Linked DNA regions of Caenorhabditis elegans. The protein of the gene in region 2 purifies or fractionates together with the protein of the main gene of each other region. This does not show direct contact. Each region holds a gene or a part of one and is shown on either strand. Other genes may lie near its edges. The genes, in order: C30G7.3, sar-1, sec-23 and npp-20.

The links.
Region 1: the proteins of sar-1 (region 2) and C30G7.3 fractionate together in Caenorhabditis elegans (co-fractionation; one large-scale study listed by BioGRID). This does not show direct contact.
Region 3: the proteins of sar-1 (region 2) and sec-23 fractionate together in Caenorhabditis elegans (co-fractionation; one large-scale study listed by BioGRID). This does not show direct contact.
Region 4: the proteins of sar-1 (region 2) and npp-20 fractionate together in Caenorhabditis elegans (co-fractionation; one large-scale study listed by BioGRID). This does not show direct contact.

Annotation. Positions count from the first base shown.
Region 1 is NC_003283.11:14,941,611-14,947,514, forward strand, and holds C30G7.3 (MADF domain-containing protein), read right to left. Parts: upstream 4,095-5,904; 5' UTR 3,996-4,094; coding exon 3,975-3,995; intron 3,911-3,974; coding exon 3,844-3,910; intron 2,572-3,843; coding exon 2,474-2,571; intron 2,319-2,473; coding exon 2,199-2,318; intron 1,938-2,198; coding exon 1,786-1,937; intron 1,412-1,785; coding exon 1,093-1,411; intron 1,047-1,092; coding exon 963-1,046; intron 610-962; coding exon 565-609; 3' UTR 520-564; downstream 1-519. Other genes in the region: C30G7.4 (Matrix-remodeling-associated protein 7), read right to left, coding at 5,174-5,512.
Region 2 is NC_003282.8:4,511,385-4,514,950, forward strand, and holds sar-1 (Small COPII coat GTPase SAR1), read right to left. Parts: upstream 1,936-3,566; 5' UTR 1,929-1,935; coding exon 1,883-1,928; intron 1,838-1,882; coding exon 1,718-1,837; intron 1,520-1,717; coding exon 1,454-1,519; intron 1,403-1,453; coding exon 1,166-1,402; intron 1,107-1,165; coding exon 994-1,106; 3' UTR 509-993; downstream 1-508. Other genes in the region: ZK180.8 (uncharacterized protein), read right to left, coding at 56-199. UniProt on the Caenorhabditis elegans protein: Small GTPase that cycles between an active GTP-bound and an inactive GDP-bound state and mainly functions in vesicle-mediated endoplasmic reticulum (ER) to Golgi transport.
Region 3 is NC_003283.11:20,089,440-20,094,274, reverse strand, and holds the start of sec-23 (Protein transport protein SEC23), read right to left. Parts: upstream 3,013-4,835; 5' UTR 3,008-3,012; coding exon 2,870-3,007; intron 2,118-2,869; coding exon 2,023-2,117; intron 1,968-2,022; coding exon 1,823-1,967; intron 1,774-1,822; coding exon 1,684-1,773; intron 1,410-1,683; coding exon 1,296-1,409; intron 23-1,295; exon of another isoform or gene 1-22. Other genes in the region: dcs-1 (m7GpppX diphosphatase), read left to right, coding at 3,533-3,649, 3,737-3,917, 3,965-4,110, 4,769-4,835.
Region 4 is NC_003282.8:1,490,111-1,497,619, forward strand, and holds npp-20 (Protein SEC13 homolog), read right to left. Parts: upstream 5,913-7,509; 5' UTR 5,898-5,912; coding exon 5,850-5,897; intron 5,781-5,849; coding exon 5,706-5,780; intron 5,617-5,705; coding exon 5,495-5,616; intron 4,835-5,494; coding exon 4,520-4,834; intron 2,205-4,519; coding exon 1,934-2,204; intron 839-1,933; coding exon 728-838; 3' UTR 543-727; downstream 1-542.

The DNA.
Region 1 (5,904 bases), on a different chromosome or scaffold from region 2:
AAAAACATGGTTTTTTTAAAAATAAATATTATTAATAAGTTCTCTGCAACAAAACAATATAATAGCAAACAACCCTTTTCAGATAAAACGTATTGCTATTTTTCCTGAAAGTTCAGTTTGAAAAAGCGTTTAATTTGTTTGACTCTCTGTTGAATTTCCTATTTTATATATGCTTATTTTTTCTCGAATAAATAAGTATGGCGTCAAAAAATTCGTTTAAATCAAAAACCAATTTTTATCATCATGTCGACGAAATAGCTTGGCTTGGGGACACACAAGGTCTAACAAATAAGAATGAAGCTCATAACAGCGCAAAAAACAAGCCGTTTTGCTTCACTTTGCCGGCTTATGTCACAGGGCTTAGGCTTAGGATTTTTTTTGGTTTAGCCTTAGGCTCATTTTTAGGCTTAGTCTTAGGCACTTAGGCATTATTTCCAGTTATTCGCTTTCCTGAAAATTGTTAAAAATCTACTTGAAAATCCGGGTTGTTAGGTGACTACAAAAAAGGTTTAAAAAATTGGAAATCCAATCAATAAATTCTTTATTCGCAAAAATCGAGGAAAATCAATTGCCGTGGATAATGAAGTGTGCAACTTTTGTGACTGTTCCCTGGAATAATAAAATATTTTTACACGGTTATGGTGTTTGCAAGGCACCAAAATTGCGCAAACAAGTTTTCTATTGCATGGGGAGCACGCTCAAAAAATTTCAGAGCTCTGTGTCTACTAAGAGCAAAGTTAGGGTAACTGCAAGTTTTGACATGCGTCGTGTGTCGCTAGGACTTTCAAACCACCTTAACTTTGCTCAAAATGTGGCTACAGCTCTGAAATTTTCTGTGGTTCATTTTTTTCATCTAATTTGATGTTCTGAATTAAAACGCTAAAGTTTCAAAAATTTCATGAGTTTCGTGTCGCGTCGCGGTCCAGCCATGAAATTTCACACAGAAACTTAAAAGTACGTACTCCTGGATTCGAAGCTTTGACACGACGCTGTCTCATCTGACAATTGAAATCCTTGACGTCATCATCGATTTCTTGAAGCTTCTTCTGCAAAAAAATCAATATTTATTTTCCATATTAGGCAATCACTCACCAAATGAGCGGCGCTCTGTGGATACACGGCTTCCGTCACAAATTGCAAACGTTCCATGTTTTCACAGGCCATCGATAGATGTGCGGCAACTCGTTCTGCACACTTTTCCGCTTCAATTGTGCCGTAAAACGCCGGATTTTGAGCAAGGATGACGTCATCGAGTTCCACGTCATCATCATCTTCAACTGGAACATTCACGTTCAGGTCGTCAATATCATCGTCTTTTGGAACTCGGTTAGCAGAGAAACTATCGATTTTCACCTCATCATTTCGACAATTTGATATGCGAATTTTTTGGTAGGATTTCGGTTGGAGGTGGCTGAAACTAGGAAAATTAGGGCTTCAAATTTAATGATCAAGAATTGCGTCATGGCACGAAAAATACGCCAAGGAGCAATGATGACGTCATCATATTAACAATTACATTGGGAGCGTTCACAAAAAATTTTGAAAGTCTTCGAACAGTGCGAGCAAAGTTACAGTGGTTCAAAACTTTAGTCTGCGTCGCGGTTTTTCTCAATACTTCAAATCTACGTAACTGTTCAAAATCTACGTAACTGTTCAAAATTGTTCAAAATGCTCGTAGAGCTGTGTATTGATTTCTCTGTATTGATTTCTGATGTATGTATGTATACTACTGTTAACGCCTTAACGCAAAACTCGTGCCTTGGCGCGTTTCTAGTGCAAACTCACCACACATCCTGAATGACTTGAGTCGCCGCTTCATTGATAGTCACATGTCTTTTGGTGGTTTTTGTGACTTTTTGCTTTGTCTCGGGCAGTTTTTTCAGTTTCAGGCGGTGTTGGTAGGCGTCGAAGGCGTCGGATGCCGTGCGGTTGTTGTACTGAAAATTTTTTGAATTGAATGTACGTAATAATACACAGCTAGCCACACAAAAAATTTCAAATCAATCCACTGGGAGCAAAGTTACAACTAGTCAAAGCAAACAACCTGCGACGCGGTCGATTAATCTTATAAGAAACTTCAAGGCCTGGTAACACTGCTCAAAATAGTCTTATCGAACTGAAATTTCAGGTATGTCTTTCTGATAGGATGTCCAACAAGCCAACAAAATGATAGAGCCTTGGCGCAATTCTCGACCCACCTTTCTCTTATCAAATGGCTGATAAATCCACGTGGCAAGTGCCTTTGGTTGCTCCGCCGCTGCACGATCCCAGTTCGTGACATATACATTCCTTTTCTTCGGTTTTTCCACAATTTTTTGCTGAAAATAAAAATATATATTGATTTATTGATTTTTAGTCCAAAAAATCAAAAAATCAATACATTTCCGGTCGGAATCTGACGATAGATAGTTGTTAAAAATGGCATTTTGTACAGCGATCAAATTTTGAAATGATTTTTTTCCAATATTCTCACCTTGAGGGGACATTTGACACGTGGCGACACTACGGTGATTTGTTCACGTGAAAATTCCAAAATTGACAGTGATGAGGTGGTGGAGCCGGTGGTGCCGTCTGCATAAAATCGATAATCAAAAAAAAGAACGTGAAAAAATATCGCTTTTTACTTAAAATCAAAAATATTTTCGAAGTATTGATTTTTAGGAATTACAGGGTGGGCCAAAAGTATGGTAACACGTTTGCAGCTCTATAACTTTACTAGTGGAGAGAGTTATTACATCAATTTGTACAAGTTTTGTTCTCCATAAAATACTGACCAGATGAACGTTTTGAATTTTCAAAATATATCCATCCGCATTGCTGCAGGCCTTCAGAACTTTTGAGATCACGATCTTTATGGCACGCAAGTCGGCATTCTGCGGGATTTCTACATTTTTCTTGAGGAATCCATAAAGTGTCTTACAAGTTTTTATAGTTCAAAGAATGCCCTTGGTCTAGAGATTCTTTAAAAACAAAAATCAAAATATTTTCTATCACGGTATTTCTGTCATGGACTGCGGCAGTAGGTTAAGTCTTGAATGGCATAGTCGCCAGAAAGATGGATGTGAGCGGCGAGTAGCAGTATTCAGATAAATTTATTTTAGTATTTTTCGAGACGTTTTGACCTGACTTTCCAGAATTTTTTTAGAAAATTGAGCTCGGATGATTTTGTGGGTCGTTACGCCTTGCGAAACCAAAAAAACTGAGTAAATTTCGCAAAGTTGAATTCATGAAATATACAAAGGTTCTTGCTAGGCGCCAGTGTCGACACAGAACATTTTTATATGCTACAAAAACAATTAAAAACGCTTCTTCACTTCTTTAACTTTCAATTTAACATAAAAATCATACATCTGAAAATTATTGGCGTGCGTGGGAGGTGTGTTTGTGTGGGAAGTGCCGCGTGCCAAATTACCGTTTTTTCGAAAGGGTTCGCCAAATTGTCGAGGTGATAAAGATCGCACCTTATTGGGAAACATTACAAATTTTGAGTCAAATTGAAGGAAATTTATTCAGCTATCAGTATTCGATAGAAGAATGTACGTATGACGTGGCAGTCGCGCGAAAAGCTCATGTAAAAGAGCGCTTCATGTGTTACCATACTTTTGGCCCACCCTGTATGCTATTTTTACCAACAAAAAAATCAATAATTCGAAAATTTTAATTTTAACTCTTTTCTGGAACAAAAATCGATAATTACACGTAGGTGAAAATTTTTGTGTAAAATATAGATTTTACGGAAAAATCGATATTTTCTAAATTTTCAAAATATTTATTTTTGAGAAATTATCGATTTTTGAACAGAAACAACAAAAACTATCAGTTTTTCCCGACTCTCAAACTCACAGCAGACGTAATACGGATTACGACGAGTGCCGGCGGTACAGACGTTGTCCCAGATGTGAGAATTTTTCTGAAAAATATACGGTATCGTGAATTGCGCAAGCAAATGCTGGCGCATTTCTCGTGCACCTCACCTTTGATTGTCTGCAGTTCATTGGAGTAATGTGAATAAGCGGCGAGTAATAAATGTGGTATTGACGAGTATAAAAGTGAGAAATAATTGAAATTTATCGATTTTATCAATCTCACGGATTATCGATTATTGTTGAGAATAACAAAATTCGAAAAGGCCACGTGAAGATTTAATTTCAAAAACAGTTTTATTTAAAAAAATATATCGATAATTATTACATTTTCTTTCTTTTTTTCAAATTGAGATCATGACAATACAAAAATCAATAAATTAATGAGAAAAAATCTATAAGACTCCCGAGTAGAAACCATTTTCCACGACATTAGATTTCAGAGTTACATACTTTCCATCTTCCTGTAAAAATCGATAAATTTTGAATGATCGGTAATCTGCCATTTTCAATTTTTGACAAATCGATAATGTGAAGTTTTAATTTTTTTTTTTTGAAAAGTCGATAATATGAAATTTTAATTTTTGAAAAATTGATAATTTTTTATTAATTTCCGGAAAATCCATCATTTGAAATTTTTCATTTACGAAAAACATTATTTTTTATTCACAAAAGCCAAGAAATCAATTGTCGTGGATAATAAAGTGTGCAACTTTTGTGGCAGTTCCCTAGGTTAATGAAATATTTTAACGCGACTTTGGTGTTTGCACGAGAATAGAGCCAAGACACCAAATTTGAGTCAGATATCATGATAACCAATATGGCTTAATGCTACGAAAATAACTTAAATTATCTTCTAAAAATCTCGGAATTAAGCATTGTTGGTGCAAGACTAATAGAAATAATACGGTATATGTTTTTTAATCTACAGTTGGTCAAATATTTCATTGCGAGGTCAATCTGGGTTGTGATGGTTTAACGTCGAATTGTAACTTTTTTGCTGCCATCCCATCAAATTGAACAAAAAACTTACAGCTTTTTATAATATAGAAACAATTTTGGATGCTATCATGTCATAAATATTATAGTTCTATATTTATCAGTCGGCTTCTATGTAAGAAGCATTTAGAATTTCTTCGTCATTGTGAACAATAGATGATTATTGTCAGCTTTTAATTATTATTTTTGCAATTGGACAAATTTCAAACACATTTTCAGTACATCTACAAAAATTGACAACGGTGAAGTAAACTACGATGTCGCATTGGTTTATTAAATTTCAAAATGATGACTAGAAATGCGAACAGTCATCAAATTACATGGATTTTCACAATATTTGGATTCTCTTCATCAACTTGAACTTCAGCTTCTGACAATGAAATTTCTGATAAAGTATTATTCACCGATTGAACATCTGAGGGTATTGTTATTTCCTCATTTGATACTGGAGAGCATGCAGGTGCGGCTGGTGTCGTTTTTGATGGGTCGGATGTTGAACCATCCTTCAAATCTTTTGCCTTTTGTCTTGAATTCGTTAATATTTTTTTGATAGCTATTGAAATGTGCCCATCCTTGTTGAGGTATAGGAAAATGAGAAAAAGAGCAATTAACATGAAGCCGAAACCAATGATGAAATCAAAAACTGCCATGTTTGAAGTTCTGGAATTCTTTGAAGTAGAAATCATTTGTATCCTATATGTTTTTGAATTGGAAAAAACTTACAGCTTCTGAAAATATAGAATCAATTTTAAATGTCATTTTTGTCATAAATATAATAGCTTTTGTACTTTTCAGACGGCTGCTTCTAGGTGTTAAGAATTCCGAAGTTTTTTTTGTTATCGCAAACAATTGATGATGATTTATTTTGGAAATGTGACTAATAATATTTAATTGTGAAACTTTTTCGTTATTATTTTCCCGATGAAACAAATTATTTGGCGAGAAAAACATTGGTTTCAATTTTTTTTTCGTACTTTTGAGGGCTACCTGCAAGTGAAAAAATTCTTTAATTGTTTCGTAGGTGCATTGCTTCATTGTGATG
Region 2 (3,566 bases):
ATTTTAATAGAGTTTACAAGTAAAATATAGATGATGATAAATTCAAAATATTTATTTAAAATTCTATGAATAAAGGAGGTTCCCTTCCCTGATTATTGGATATTCGTAGTGGGTGCACACGAACACCATTGCGTCGAGAGAGTGGAGGAATAGAGAATTGGAGTGAGCTGTGTGCACTCAAATGTACTGCAGAAGCCATCTGTGAGACTACGACGAAAAGGTTCTTCTGGAAAAATAGCCAATTATCTGATCTGAAATTAATTTTTTTTCCGCACCTGAAATAGAAATGTGTCCGTTTGACCACTTGGAACACAAACCACATAATGGAATGTTTGACCATGTCGCCTGACTACAGGCCCTTGTGATCAAATGTACTCCGATCAACAATTTTCTTTTCAAATTCCAAGTTTTTCAGTTTCAGTTATAACTATAGTTAAAGCTCGCCACAAAGAAAACAACTATATGGCGTGACGTTTTTTTTCTTGTGAGTAGCGTGATAAGAGAATAATTTCTGGGAAAACTTCGAACTGCAACATTCCGAAGCTGTTTCATTCACATAGAACTAACCGAAATAAAAAATTAGAAAATCTGAGGGGGAAATGAAGTGGGACGAGAAGAAAAATGGGGATGTTTGAATGATAGTGATGTGATAAATACGGAATAGATGAGGAAAAGGTTTGAATAAATTTTTGTGGAGAATAGAAAAACAATGAGGACGCCGTGAATTTTTTACAAGTCCGTATAAGTCAAAATTTATAAATAAAATAAAATGGGATTGCGGCTTGCTTTTTTATGCACAAACGTCGAAGGCATGAGAAGTTTAATGATGAGGATCCCAAGGATCCCAAAAGAAAAAACGAAGGAAAATGACAAGTACGTACAACAAATCTATGGGAAATGTTGGCGGCGCAATATGTAAGAGAATGGTGCTTTTTTCGAGAATGGAATAAAAAAGGAGTGAGCAGAAGAAGAAGAGTTCAAGAACTGATCTGTTTACAGGTACTGTCCAAGCCAACGGATTCCTTCTCCGTATCCTTGTCGCTGAAGAACAGAGCACATGAACACTTCCATCGGCCGAGAAGCCATTTCGTTGCGGGAAACGTCTCCTATAAAGATTTTCGTTTTTTAAATAAATTCAAGCGATAATTTCCAATCAAAAACCAACCCTTTCCGGTGCACATATGTTGAATGTTGAGTTGCCACTTGAGCTGATCCTCACTCAATGCTCCTGGCTTGTCAATCTTGTTTCCGAGAATAAGCACTGGAACGGAAGCGATCTGCTCGTCCTGGAGCAGCGATTCGAGCTCAACACGGCTTTCTTGCATTCTTTCGGCGTCGGCCACATCGATCAAGAAGACGACGGCGTCCACGGCAGGGAAGTAATCTTTCCAGACTCGTCGTGCTGGAAAAATGAAGAAAATTAGTTTAAAAAACCGAAAAAACGAGTGAATACCTTGCGCGTGACCACCGAGATCGTATGTGGTAAACGAAATTCCTCCGAGTGACATTTGCTCAGATGCTGAAAAATAATCAATTCAATAATTCTCACAACTAGTTTTTTGCGTCATCATCTTTAGCAATTGACAGATGATAAGCAAAACCGGTCAATCAGCTGTAAAGAAGAGAAAGATATCATTTTTTTAAAGTAAGATTCCTTCCTTTAACAGGCTGAACTACACCGGAATTGCTTTTAAAATCAATAAAAAGCGATAATTACTTGGGTGAAGAGTGGGAACGTGTTGAGCAATACGATCATCTTTAAGCATGTGAAGCAGTGTAGTCTTTCCAGCGTTGTCTAGTCCCAAAAATACCAATTTTCCCTTTTTGTTGGCCAATCCTGTAAATAAAAGGTTTTATGATGGTAAAATTCAGTTTTACAAACCCAGCATGTTGAGCACTCCATTAAACCAGTCCCATAAAAACGACATATTGAATCTGGAAAATTATGCAATTAATTTATTAATTAAATCACTTAAAAATCGGGTAAATCAGGCATTTTTTAGAGAATAAATGAATGAACTGAAATAGATCAAAAGTGGGAACTTTTAGTGGTTAAATGGGGGTGAGAAAAGAGGAAAAGAGAGAAAATAACGAGGCGGAGACATTCTGTGTAGCGTGCTACACAGAGACAAAACGACACGCGCTTCCACGTGTACCCGAAAAGAGAAAAGAGACGCAGTGTGATAATCAAAAAATTCTAATTCTGAAAATCGGCGATTCGGGACCAGGAAAGCTTCATTTAAAGTGAATCCGGAAAGCGCTGACGTGTCCAAAGTGGCAGATGGTCGAGAAGTGCGCCAGCGTCGGGAAATGCGTCAGTAAGGATGAAAGGCGCGCTTTCCGTGCGGAATGGAGAAAATACGCTTAAGCTTTAAATAACAATTAAAGGCATGCAAAATTCGACAAATATCACAAATTTTAAGTAGAGACGAAACATAATGGAAAGACAATTGGCATTTACAATGTAAAACTCCTAAATTTCAACAATAATCGGTGGAAAATTAAATTTTCGTTTAAATAAAAAGTTTAAAGAATAAAACTTACGCGCCAAAACTCCTTTTAATGAAAAATGTTCAGATCACTTCGAAAAATCGATTTTTGAAACTGATTCGAAAAAATTTAAATGTTGAAAAGAGTTTTTATGGCATGGTTTTTTCTCGATAAAAAAGAAAACGTGAAGGAAATGTTTTTCTTTTGAAATTATTCATTGAAATTTGAATTTATAAAATAGTAAAACTTATTCAGCTACATTTGGTCTCGACACGCCAGATAATTTGTTTAATGCCTCAAAAAAAGCGTGCGCCTTTAAATACTACGGTATATTTCTTCGATTTTAAATCCGCTCAATTTTTGAGAAACTGAAAAATGAAATTTTTAATACCATGGGAGAAACTAATACCGCGACCCGAAGGTTTGTCATTTTTGTGGCAAAATACGGTATCCGGTCTCGACACGACAATTTGTTGTTAATTGCAAAAAGGTGTGCGCCTTTAAAGAGTACTGTAGTCTCAAACTTCTGTTGTTGCACAATTTTCATTGTTTCTCATATTTTTCTTAAAAATAGGTGTATCAATTATAAAAAAATATAAAGTAGAGTTTCCTACCGTCCAATGTAGGCTATGCCAACACGCAAAATTCACGTTAGTTTGAAAGTTTTCATTTTCAAAAAAAAAATCAAGTTCATTCATTTATTTTTTTTTTCGAACTTTATTTTAAGCCAGTCGGAGTAGGTCGAGCCGTAGGCTCGAACGACACCGGCTGGTCAATTATAAAAAAAAACACACATAAATATTATTTAGCAAATCGCGAGTAAAACTGCAAAAAATCGATGAAAATTCCGCTGCACCAAAAGTTTCAAACTACAGTACTCCTTTAAAGGAGTACACCTTTCTGTGTTTAACAAAGATAGTCATGTCGAGACCGGGTACCGTATTTTCGCCTCAAAAATTACGATTTTTTCGTTTTTTTTTAACTCAAAAACCTGTAAAAATATTTTTTTGACAGGAAAAATTAAAAATCCGAAAACTACTGTATTTTTAAAGGCACATAACTCATCTCTGCAGTTT
Region 3 (4,835 bases), on a different chromosome or scaffold from region 2:
TTTGAATAAAAAAGTGTATAGTCGGTGTATAGTCGTTAATTAACCTATTAACTTAAAGGTGGTGTAGTCGAAAATTATTGAAAATTCACAGATTTCAGTGAAAAATTCGAACAAAACAAGGCTATACACTTTTTAATTCAATTTTCCATCCAAAATCTTATAATTCTATTCATTGGTTAGTAGTATGGTAATTCAATTAAATAATGCGCTACTTATGCTCAATTGACCCAGTTTTCTCGAAAAAGTAGGATTCTTCATAAAAAATAAATGTTAAATTGAATGTTATACTATATATATAGTTGTTCTGAAACGTTACAGCTCTGCGGAATAGGTAAAGGTGGTGTAGTCGAATTTTTTTTATTGCCTTATTAGACTCAAAATTGTCTGAAAACACCGAATTTCATAATGAAACTTCTTGAAAACTTGACAAAAAAAAGTTATGGCGGCTCAAAAAATGGCCTAAAATTAGTTAAAATTTGAAATTTGACCGACTTGTCAAGCGGCTGGAAACACTTTTTTTTTGAAATCACCGTCAAATTTTGAGTTTACAAGTTGATTATCTTGCGTTTTAAACTTGATTAAGGTATTTAAAAATCGATGTACGGCGAGATTTTTAATTTTTTTTATCGATAAACTCGCCGTCCATCGATTTTTAAATAGCTTAATCAAGTTTAAAACGCAAGATAATCAACTTGTAAACTCAAAATTTAACGATGATTTCAAAAAAAAAAATTTCCAGCCGCTGCGACATTGATAAGTTAGTCAAATTTCCGATTTTAACTAATTTTAGGCCATTTTTTGAGCCGTCATAACCTTTTTTTGAAAAGTTTTCAAGAAGTTTTATTATGAAATTCGGTGTTTTCAGACAATTTTGAGTCTAAATAAAGCAATTTGAAAAAAATCGACGACACCACCTTTAACTATTCCGCATTTTAGAGCTTTAACGTTTCAGAACAACTATATATATAGTATAACATTTAATTTAACATCTATTTTTAATGAAGAATCCTACTTTTTCGAGAAAACTGGTCAATTGAGCATATTGAGCGCATTATTTAATTGAATTACTATACTAGTAACCAATGAATAGAATTATAAGATTTTGGATGGAAAATTGAATTAAAAAGTGTATAGTCTTGTTTTGTTCGAATTGTTCACTGAAATCCGAGAATTTTCAATAATTCTCTAATTTTTCGCTATTCATTTTGCATTTACTTAGTGTTTTTTTTTTGGCATTTTTCGGCATTTTTCAGGCTTCTAACCCAAAAAATCCAATTTTCCCTGCAATTTATTACCTTGAAAACGTAGCTTCTCGAGATTCCCTGAGTGTTGAGCTCATGCAGCTGGACCATTCTACCGTAGGTGATCAATCCGACGAGAGCATCGGCTGGGAGCAGCGAGAGAGCAGTCTGAAATTGGAAAAATTGGGAAATTTTGCCCAAAAATCTGAATTTTACGGCAAAAATTGCCAATTTTCATGAAAAATAACACTATTATGTTTAAAAAAGTCGAATTTTCAAGCGAAAATGAGCAGAAATTCCCATTTTTCAGCAGAAATTCCCATTTTTGAGTGAAAAAATCACAAATTTTGAGTTGGAAAACCGACGAATTTTCGAGCAATTTTCCGCGAAAATTTTAAAAAACCGCCGTTTTTTTCTCAATTTTCTGCAATTTGTCCCGTACTTGAAGGCATTCTTTCAGCGATTTCAGCTCCTCTGCAGTCATACACGTGTCGACGACGAAAACGAAGATCGGCGGCATTGTGGTGGCTTTCTGGAATAAAGATTTGGCTTAAAACTCGGATTTTTCAGCATTTTCTCACTCGAAGCGTGTACTCAATGGTTGTAAATTGTGGATAGAGCTCCGGCGGGCGGTTATCCTCGGCAATTGCCGCATAATGAGCCGGGAACGGATTCCGATTGTTGCAGAATGGGCACATCCAGATTTTGGCGCGATAATCGACGGCGCTGAAAGCATCATTTTTCGGGGTGAAAATCGGGCAAAAAAAGGCCTGAAACTCACCAAAGTGGGTTTAAAATCGCTTTACAGCTGGCTTTTTGGCACAAAACCGGATCATATTCCAGTGGTGGTTGGGCGACTTCTGTTGATGGGCGCTCCTGGAAAAAAAATTTGGTTTTTGAGAGAAATTTGATGAGAAATCGTGAAATTTCAGCTTAAAATCGGCTTGAACTCCGCAAAATTGGATTAGCAGCGCCTAAAGCTTGTAGTTTGTAGTTTAGCAGCGCCTAAAGCTTGTAGTTTGTAGTTTCAGCAGCGCCCAAAATTGGATTAGCAGCGCCCAAAACGTGTAGTTTGTAGTTTAGCAGCGCCCAAAATTGAATTAGCAGCGCCCAAAACTTGTAGTTTGTAGTTTTAGCAGCGTTCAAAATTGGATTAGCAGCGCCCAAAACTTGTAGTTTGTAGTCTAAGCAGCGCCCAAAATTGAATTTTTTTTTTGCGTTTCTCAGCGGAATTTTACGATTTTTGCAGAGATTACCGACTTTTTAAGGTAAAAATGCAGAAATTCCGATGGAAATTGAGAAAAAAATCGCGTTTTTAATCGAAAAATTGCTGAAATTCATGCCTTCGGTGTTTCGAAGCTGCCGATCGGCTCGAGCAGCTACCAAATTTGAATTTTTAGAAGATTATAACGAATTTCTGGCAAAAAATGAAGCAATCCACTAAAATTTGCAAAGATTCGGAGAAAATTGATGGAATTTCGATGGATTTGAAGAAAAATTGCTGAAAATAGGCTTTTCCTCAGCTTTTGGCGCTGCTCGGCAGCTACAAAATCCAATTTTCAATGCTTAAAATTCAATAATTCCACGAAAAATTCGAAGAAAATCCAGTTTCCGCGCCTCAGTTTTACCTTCAGCGGCGTGAAAAAGCAGGTGAGCGGGACGACAAGCTTCTGAGAATCCACTCGACTGTGTGGCCACATGTTCCACGTGAATTGGACGCCATCGTTCGCCTGTTGAGCACCCAAATATTCTTCCCAAGTGGCCATTTTTACTGGAATAAACTGGTAATGAACTTTTTATCGCGGAAAATGATGAAAAACGAGGAGAATACGTGGATTACGTGTGAAATTCTGGTTTTTCACCATTAAATTTTAATTTTATTAATATAAAACACTGAAAATCACGTTTAATAGCGAAAAATCGAGTTTTTTGGGTTTTTATGGTTGCCCAATCAATTTTCGTCATTTTTTCGACATATGCAAGGTGAAAACTATGATTTTTACACTAAAATCAATAAAAATCGACTTATTTTCAATATTTTAGCAAGAAAAATCAGAAAAAATGGTGAAAAACGAGTGAAAATCTGCAAAATTCCAACAGAAAATGTACACGTGGAGGAAGATGGCCGAGAAAAGAATTGGAGTTTTCTAGGCCGCGGCCAGTGTGTTGTTTTACGATGCGTGACACTTTTGAAAATGTTTTTTGAGTTGGTTTTCTCGATTTCTACCGTTTTTCGTTGCAATTTCTGTATCTTTTTGGTGAATAATAAGTGAAAATCTCGATTTTTCAGTATGAAACGGATCGCCGACGAGGAACTTGTGCGAGAGGAGCGTGCAGAGGAGAGTACACAGAAATGGCTGCAGGATGCCAAGTTTCAAGAGATTTTAGGCGCTGATTCGTCGCATAAGGTGAGAAAATCAATAAAAAGTGAATTTTTTGCATTAAGAAACAATAAATTTCACCTAAAAATCATAAAAATCAATATTTTCTTCCAGTCTCTCTTCGTTTTGCTCTCCCATCCCGATGGATCTCAAGGCATTCTGCTTGCCAACAAGTCTCCGTTTTCCGAAGAAAAATCCGATATCGAGAAGCTTCTGGCGACTGCACAGCTTCAAGAAATCTCCAGAAATGACATTTTCGGGTCCTATAATATAGAAATCGATCCCAAATTGAATTGTAATCCACACAATCTTGCTTAAATTAATTTTTAATTCAATTTTCAGTGCTAAAATCTCAACTAATCTACCCGATAAACGATCGTCTCATTGCAAAATACCGTCAGGAGGAGAAATTCGTGATTCGAGAGACTCCAGAGCTTTATGAGACTGTTACAAGGCCGTATATTGAGAAATATCAGCTGAATCTCAATGTAAGCAGCGAAAAAATGAAGAAAATCGGAGAAAATACCAAGAAAATGAGTTTAGCAGCGCCCAAAACGTGTAGTTTGTAGTTTAGCAGCGCCCAAAACTTGTAGTTTGTAGTCTTAGCAGCGCCCAAAATTGAATTAGCAGCGCCCAAATCTTGTAGTTTGTAGTCTTAGCAGCGCCCAAAATTGAATTAGCAGCGCCCAAATCTTGTAGTTTGTAGTCTTAGCAGCGCCCAAAATTGAATTAGCAGCGCCTAAAACGTGTAGTTTGTAGTGTTAGCAGCGCCCAAAACGTGTAGTTTGTAGTCTAAGCAGCGCCCAAAATTGAATTAGCAGCGCCCAAAACGTGTAGTTTGTAGTCTAAGCAGCGCCCAAAATCACGATTATCGATTTTCACTCGTTTTTCTTCGATTTTTTCGAATTTTTTGATTTTTCTTTTGGTTTTAAGTGAAAAACAAGACAGAAAATGAGAATATTCTGCAAAAAATTGACAAAAACCATTAAAAATTCGTAGATTTTCTCTGTTTTTCAGAGTTTTTAGCGTTCAAAGTGAATAAAAATTCGGAAATTAGTAGAAATACTGAAAATCGCACAATTTTAAATGAGAAAATGCGATTTTCCGCTCGAAATTTCTTTTTCAAAAATCAATTTTTCGTTTCAGTGGGTGTACAATTGCCTGGAAAAGCGCTCGGAAGTCGATAAAATCGTGTTCGAAGACCCCGACAATG
Region 4 (7,509 bases), 3.0 Mb from region 2:
ACTTTTTGGACATTTTTCCGCAAAAAAATGACACAAAACCCAAACTATTCGAGATTATTTCTAATTTCTAACAAATTTCGGTCAACTTCCGCTAGATAATAGTATCAACCAAGAAAAAAATTATTCCCAGCACGCGGGGTCGAACCCCGGTCTTCTGCGTCCCAGCCCAGCCCGTTGCCGCCTGCGCTACTGCAACCAATTTTTCGAAAAATCCTCGGAAATGAGCCAATATTGGTGTCAAATAAACGAAAATTGTGCGAGAAATTTGAACATGTGCATGGAAATTTGTAAAAATCATGTTTTCAAAAACTGTTCCGCATTTTTCCGAAAAAAAACTGATTTTTTTCAAGTTTCACTAGTTTCCAGCAGGTTATACTCAGTTTCAGCTTGTTAACAGTATCAATCACGCTAAGATAAAGAAAATTCCCACCACGCGGAGTCGAACCCCGGTCTTCTGCGTCCCAGCCCAGCCCGTAACCGACTGCGCTACTGCGACCAATTTTTCAAAAATAAGAGAAAATCTGAATTTAGTCGAAAAAAATCAATAAATAAATAAAACTTCATCCCGGTTTCGCATTAGTTTTTTGAGAGAGAAAAAGAAGGAAAATCATAAAATATCTGGATTCGGAGAAGTAAATGAGGAAAAAAATCAATAATAACAGGTACATATACAAGTTTTAAGAGGAATTATGGGTGTAGAAACAGCGAAAAAAAATAAATAATTTATTTATCTCTGAGCTCCCGGAGCTCCGACCGCTTGGCTCATTCCCTCGCGTTCCTTATTGTCACGTGGCACTTTGATCCATTGTCCCTGAAGATTTTCGCGCCAAATTGTGATCTGCAAAATTGGAAAATGAGCGTTTTTAGGCGTAGGTGCCTGCCTGCCTGCAAACAGAGCTTATCATATGCTTTTTTTTGTAGAAACGGCACTTTTTTAAGAAGATTTGCCTACCTACCTGTAGGCACGGTAGGCACACGTGTAGGCATTAGGCAGGCGGGAACATTTCGTCTGGTTTTTCGTAATTCTAGGTCGAATTTTTCAGAATTTTCGTTGAAATTCAATTAATTCCGGTGATTTGATCGGAAAATTCGAATTTTTCGCCATTTTCAGTAAAATTACTGCAAATTCTGAATTTTTGAGTATTTTTTTTCCATTTATTCAGATTTTTCGTGCCAAAATGCTTTTTTTGCAAGTTTTCGGTAGCTTTTTCTCAAATTTTTCATAAAAATTGAAATTTTCATGTGCTGCTCAAAAATCGATACTTTTCAACCGAAATTCGCCGGTTTTTATGTAAAAAAAATTGATTTTGAAGTGATTTTGGCCAATTTTCCGGTAAAAAAAATTTTTTGTTTTCCCACTTTTTTGCCAGTTCTCAATAGATTTTTTTTTCCAAAATTTTGAATTTTCCAGGTTTTGCTCGAAAATTAATATTTTTAGCATTTTTCGATCAAAATCACCTGAAAAAATCGAATTTCAACGAAAATTCTGAAAAATTCTTCCTAAAATTACGAAAAACCGGGCAAAAAAGATAGAAGTTGTATTAAAACCAAAAAAAAAAAAAAAAAAAAAATCAAAATTTTCCTCACAAAAACCTGCCACCTGCCTCATGCCTACTGCGGCTAGAGGTAGGTAAGATTTTTTTCCGTTTTTTTTAATGCCAAAATGCTTTTTTTTTTCGCTATTTTTTCCAAATTTTTTCGAATTTTCTAGGTTTTGCTCGAAAAATCATAATTTTGAGCTAAAAAATCCAAAATTTCAGCGATTTTTGCTAAAAATGTGACAATTTTCCGTTTTTGAAGCGATGATTTTCGCTGTTTTTGTACACTTTTTTTTTTCAAAAATTGTGCCATTTTTGACGTAAAAAATCCATAATTTTCCCAATTTCGGTGCCAATTTCCACATTATTCCACACAAAAATCCTCGATTCCATACCACATTATCATCGCCAGCAACTGAAAGGAATGATCCACACGGAGAAAATGATGAATGGTACAATGCACACGGAGCCGTCTCCAATAATTTCGCCTTCCACTCTTCAGTTTCAATATTTGAAGTACGGAAAAGTACCAAATTTCCCTCCATTCCACAGCTAACAATTGTATGTTGTCCATTATTTGTTACCGGGCACCATGCGGCTTCACGTACAAAATCTGTGTGTCCGGCTAGGGTTTTCTCGAGAATCCATTCGTTTGTAGCGTCGTCACTGGAGGAAAAAATATTGGTGATTTCGAAGGAAAATTGTCATTAAGAAAATGAATTTTTCTTAGGAAACCCCAATAACACTGCAACTTTTTCCTCACGAGGGACGAGGAAAAGTGGTTTCTAGGCCATGGCCGAGGGGCCGACAAGTTTCAGCGGCCATTTATCTTGCTTTGTTTTCCGCGTGTTTTCTTTTGTTTTTCACAGCTTTTTCCCGTTTTTTCTTATTAAAACTGATAAATAAATATTTTTTGCAGATGCTAAAACAATTTCCAAGTTAAAAAATTATGTATCCAGTGGGCAAGCAGCGGTGAAAGTGGGCAATGTAAAATGATGGATTACGGGAATACAAAACCTAAACTTTTTCTGAAACATGATACATATGCTGCTTAAATGCTGAGACTACCTGATTTTCATAACGAGTCCGCTGAAAAAGTTTTGAGGTTTCCACAATTCAACTTTTTTGGTAAAAAAGTCGAGATTTTCGCACAAAAAATTGAATTTTGAAAACCTCAAAACTTTTTTAACGGTCTCGTTATGAAAATCAGGTAATTTCAGCATCTAAGCATCATATGTATCATGTTTCAGAAAAAGTTTAGGTTTTGTATTCCCGTAATCCATCATTTTACATTGCCCACTTTCACCGCTGCTTGCCCACTGAATACATTTTTTTTTTACTTGGAAATCGTTTTAGCATCTGCAAAAAATATTTATTTATCAGTTTTAATAAGAAAAAACGAAAAAAATCGATGAAAAACAAAAGAAAACAGGCGGAAAACAAAGCAAGATAAATGGCCGCTGAAACTTGTCGGCCCCTCGGCCATGGCCTAGAAACCACTTTTCCTCGTCCCTCGTGAGGAAAAAGTTGCAGTGAGAAACCCCAATAAATTCGACAAAATTCAGTGGGAAATCAGCTTTTGGGCAGCTTCAAAATTGGGATTTTCCAAAGCGAACCCAAATTTCTGCATTATAATGGGGAAATTTTTTTTTTTTTTTCGAATTTTCACCAACAATTTTGTTTGTAGCGCGTCGTCACTGTAAAAAAATGGGTAATTTCGCGGAAAAATTGTCAAAAAATGGATTTTTCAAGAGGAAATTCAGGAAATTCGACAAAAATTTCGAAAGAATATACTTTTTTTCTGATTTTTCAGCAAAAAAGATTAATAAAAATTTCCGATTTTGGGGGTTTTTTGAAATGAAACTGCGAAAAATCTGGAATTTGAGAATTTTTTGCAAAAAAAACAGCTTTTGGGACAAATTTTCAAGTTTAAATTATTTTTTGAGTGATTTTTTCAGTTTTTTTTTAATCAAAAAACCGAAAAATTGGATGTTTCAGGGGGAAAATCCAGGAAATTCGACAAATATCTGTTAAAAAATATCCAAAACCTGGAAATTTTGAATTTAACACGATAATCTGAAATTCGGGTAGAATTCGCTTTTACTTTTACAATTTTTTAGAAAGAAATTTATTAAATGGTCGGATTTTTAGTCTTTTTTGATGGAAAACTGTGAAAAAATGGGTTATTTCACGGAAAAATTGTCAAAAAAAAGGATTTTTCAAAGGAAACTCTAGAAAAATCTGGAACTTTGGCGAAAAATTTCCATTTTTTCTCGTTTTTCGCGTCGTCACTGGCAAAATAATGGGATTTTTCAGGTGAAAATTTAAGAAATTTGAGAATTTTCGGTGAAAAAATACGCTATTGGGTCGAATTTTTAACTTTAACATTGTAAATTTTGAGAATTTCAGAAAAAAAAACAATTTTTTCATTGATTTTTCAGAAGGAAATTTTTTTTAATTCTGGAATTCAGGCTTAGGCTAAGGCTTAGGCCTTAAAAAAAATCCGAATTTAATTTTTATTTTGCGAATTTTTTCATCCCAGAAAAACTGACTTTTTCAGGGGAAAAATCTCAGAAATTCTTGTGATTTTAGCAAAAAATCAGGTAATTTTGAGGGAAAAATTTGAATTTTTCAAAAATTTCCGGTAAGAACTGCACTAATTTGTGATTTTTAAACAAATTTTGGATCAAAAATACAACTTTTTTGGGAAAATTTCATAAAATCTGCCAATTTTGCTGAAAAAAAAGTAAAATTTTACGACTTTTTTTCCGAGAAGTTTTGGCAATTTGAGGCTTAGGCCTAGGCGTAGGCGTAGGCTTAAGCTTAGGCTTAGGCTTACAAAAAATCTGACTTTTGAGAACCTGAGAAAATTGCGGTTTTTGTATTTTCCATCGAAAAAACGTCAAAATTTCACGTTTTTCGGGTCAAAAAAAATCTAAAAAATCTAAAAAATCGATTTTCAGTGCATTTTCTCTACTCACAAAGCCCAAATCTTGACATTTTTATCATTTCCAGCTGAAACAAGACGTTTTTTTGCCGCCGGATCAGCACTTCCAGGTGCCCAACACACTGAATTAACTCCTTGTTCATGACATTTCTGAATTTTCGACGAAATCCATTCGTTGCTCGAATTGTCGTATCGAAGAATACCGATATCACCGTCAGCAGAGGCAGAAGCCAACATTAGGCCATATTGGTGTGGTGCAAAGGCCACACAAGTCGTACTGGCCTCATGAGCGGCCCATTCGTAGGCTTTTTGCCAGCGGCCTTGTTGTTCGTTCCAGATTATCACTTTTCTGGAAAGAAAATCGATTCATTTGGGGGAAAATTGGCTGAAAATCTGTGAAAATTGATGAAAAATGCCTGAAATTAGAGCAAAATGAGCTAAAAATTGCAAAAAACCCGTGAAAAACTACTGAAATTCATGGAAATTCCAGAAAAAAACGTTGGATTGGGGGGTAAATTGGCTCAAAATTCCGAAAAAAAAACTATGAAAATTGAATAAAATCGATAAAAATTACAAAAATCGGGGCAGAAATCGACTAAAATTCGGGAAAAAATTGCAGAAAATCGGTAAAAATTTCATAAAACCCGTTGAAGTTTTTAAAATTTTGGTGGATTTGAGGGAAATTAGGCTTGAAATTCAAAAAAAAACTGTGAAAATTGACCGAAAATACTGATTTTTCTTTAAATAATCCGTGAATTTAAAGGGAAAATAGCGTAAAATCGGTGAAAAATGATCAAACTCATTGAAATTTCAGAAATAGGCTGCATTTTTCAATATTTGTGTCCATTTTCTTCCAAAATCACTCTGTTTAACCAATTTTTGGCAAAAAACCCAAAAAATGAGCTGAAAACCGATTAAAAACAGAGATTTTAGCGTATTTTTATGAAATTCTGATCGAATCTAGCAAATTTTGATCATTTTTCCGTTTTTTTTTCCAAATATTCCGTACTTATCATAGGAAGCGGAGGCAAGAAGTCCTCCATATTTCGGATGAGCCCATGAGACTTTCCAAACGGGACCACTGTGTCCGACAAGCTCCGCCATCGGATATGACTGGCCATTTGGGCGAACCTGTAATATTTTTATATTTTTTTTTGCGTTGAAATTATGAAAATTCTGGGATTTTTGCAGAAAATCCAAGATTTTTCGCCTTTCCTGACCTCAAAAATCTTCACAAGACGGTCAGATCCACACGTGGCGAGTCGGCTTCCGTAGATGTTGAGCTGAGCGTCGTGCTGCAATTTTTCAGAATTTAAAAAAAAAAAATAGATTTTCTTAGCTAAAATTCAGATTTTCCGACTTACAATTGCGTCACGATGTTGTGTATCGATTCTCTGGCGGACCGTGGTCATTTTTCAGCTGAAAATCTAGAAATTTCGAAAAAAATCGCTAAAAATTGAGTGAATTTCGGCAAAAATTGAATTTAAAAATTGCAAGTTGGAACGATCGAGAAACGCGTCAACACGAGAAACGCGCCAGCAAACGATAGCTGGCGTGTTTCTCGTGCGCCAAGGAACGTGGATTTAATCACGAGAAAATAATAATTGATGGAAACCTGGAGAATTCGAATGGGAAATTGTTGATAATTTGATAAAAATAACAATTTCTAGTTCTACTTTTTAAGATTTTAAATCAAAAACAACTCAGGGAACCTTTCAACACAGATTAAAAGATCAAAGTTCTGAAAAACAACTTTCTTAATTATATTGTCCTTGTTTTTTCTTCTGTTTTGATTTTTTCTTCTGATCATCAATATCAACACGCCGTACTTTGAAGTCTGAAAAAAAGATTCAAATGAAAAAAAAACACATTATATTTTGTGCTTAGCCTCCGTGTGTCTTATTGCGGGTCGCGTGACGTCGTCAGCGCAATTTTTACGATCATTTCTTTCTGTCATGATCATCAGTTTGATTTTCTAGCGTGATTTGGAGGCGAAAATCAATAAATTATAATAGTTTTTCGCTTATTCCTGTTTTAAAACATGTTTTCTATATTTTTATTGAGAAACTTGAGATTTTTAAAAAGAAAACTTTAAAACCCGCTTGTATTTTTGCAATTATCTTATTTTTTTCAATTTCTTCGCTGAAATACTTGAAAAATTGCAATTTTTGCTGAAAATAATTCCAAAAAGTGTGCGCGGCAAGTAAAATGCATTGTACGCAATTGCGTATCAATGCATCTAACCCGACGCGCAGTTTCAAGGTTACTGTAGAACATTTTGTTTTTTTTTGTGTTTTCCCCAATTTCCAGCCGAAAAACTCGAATTTTATGTGTTTTCCAACGTTTTTTAAAATGTTTTTTTTTGTAAAAATTTTAGAAAGTCAGCAAAGTTAACGTTTCTATCGAAAAATCCAGTTAAAAATCAAAAAATTATCGATTTTTCGGATTAATTTGGAAATTCAATCGAAAATGAACTATTTGAGGAAATTCTGGCAGTTTTTGCGGAAAAAAATTGAAAATTGACAGAAAAGTCGATATTCTAACAGAGTTTTCACGCAAAATCTAAAAATGTTGAATTATTTTTCGATAGAATTTCGGGGTTTTAAAAATTTTTAGGACAAAAATCAATAATTTCCAGAATTTTTTTGAAAAAAGTTTCGAAAAATAATAGTTTCAAGAAGCATCAAAATCGTAAGTTTCAGTTTTTTTCAAATTTCCGATAAAAATCCCCAAAAAGTAAAAAAAAATTTTTTTTTGAAAAAATCTGTTATTTGTGCCGAAAAATCATTAAAGCAAATATAAGAAAACTATTATTTATCTAAATTCTTATAGAAAATCCAATTTTTTTTATAGAAAAATCAAATTTAAAGAAAAAAAAAATCAATAATTTCCCCCAAAAGAATCCTGCCACCCCAAAAATTATCAACAGAGCACAATTGCATCATATTCCATAAAAAATATCATTTGGCACACTGCCAAGTCTTCATCACACCAACATCTCTGCACTCTCCACATCTCTGAACC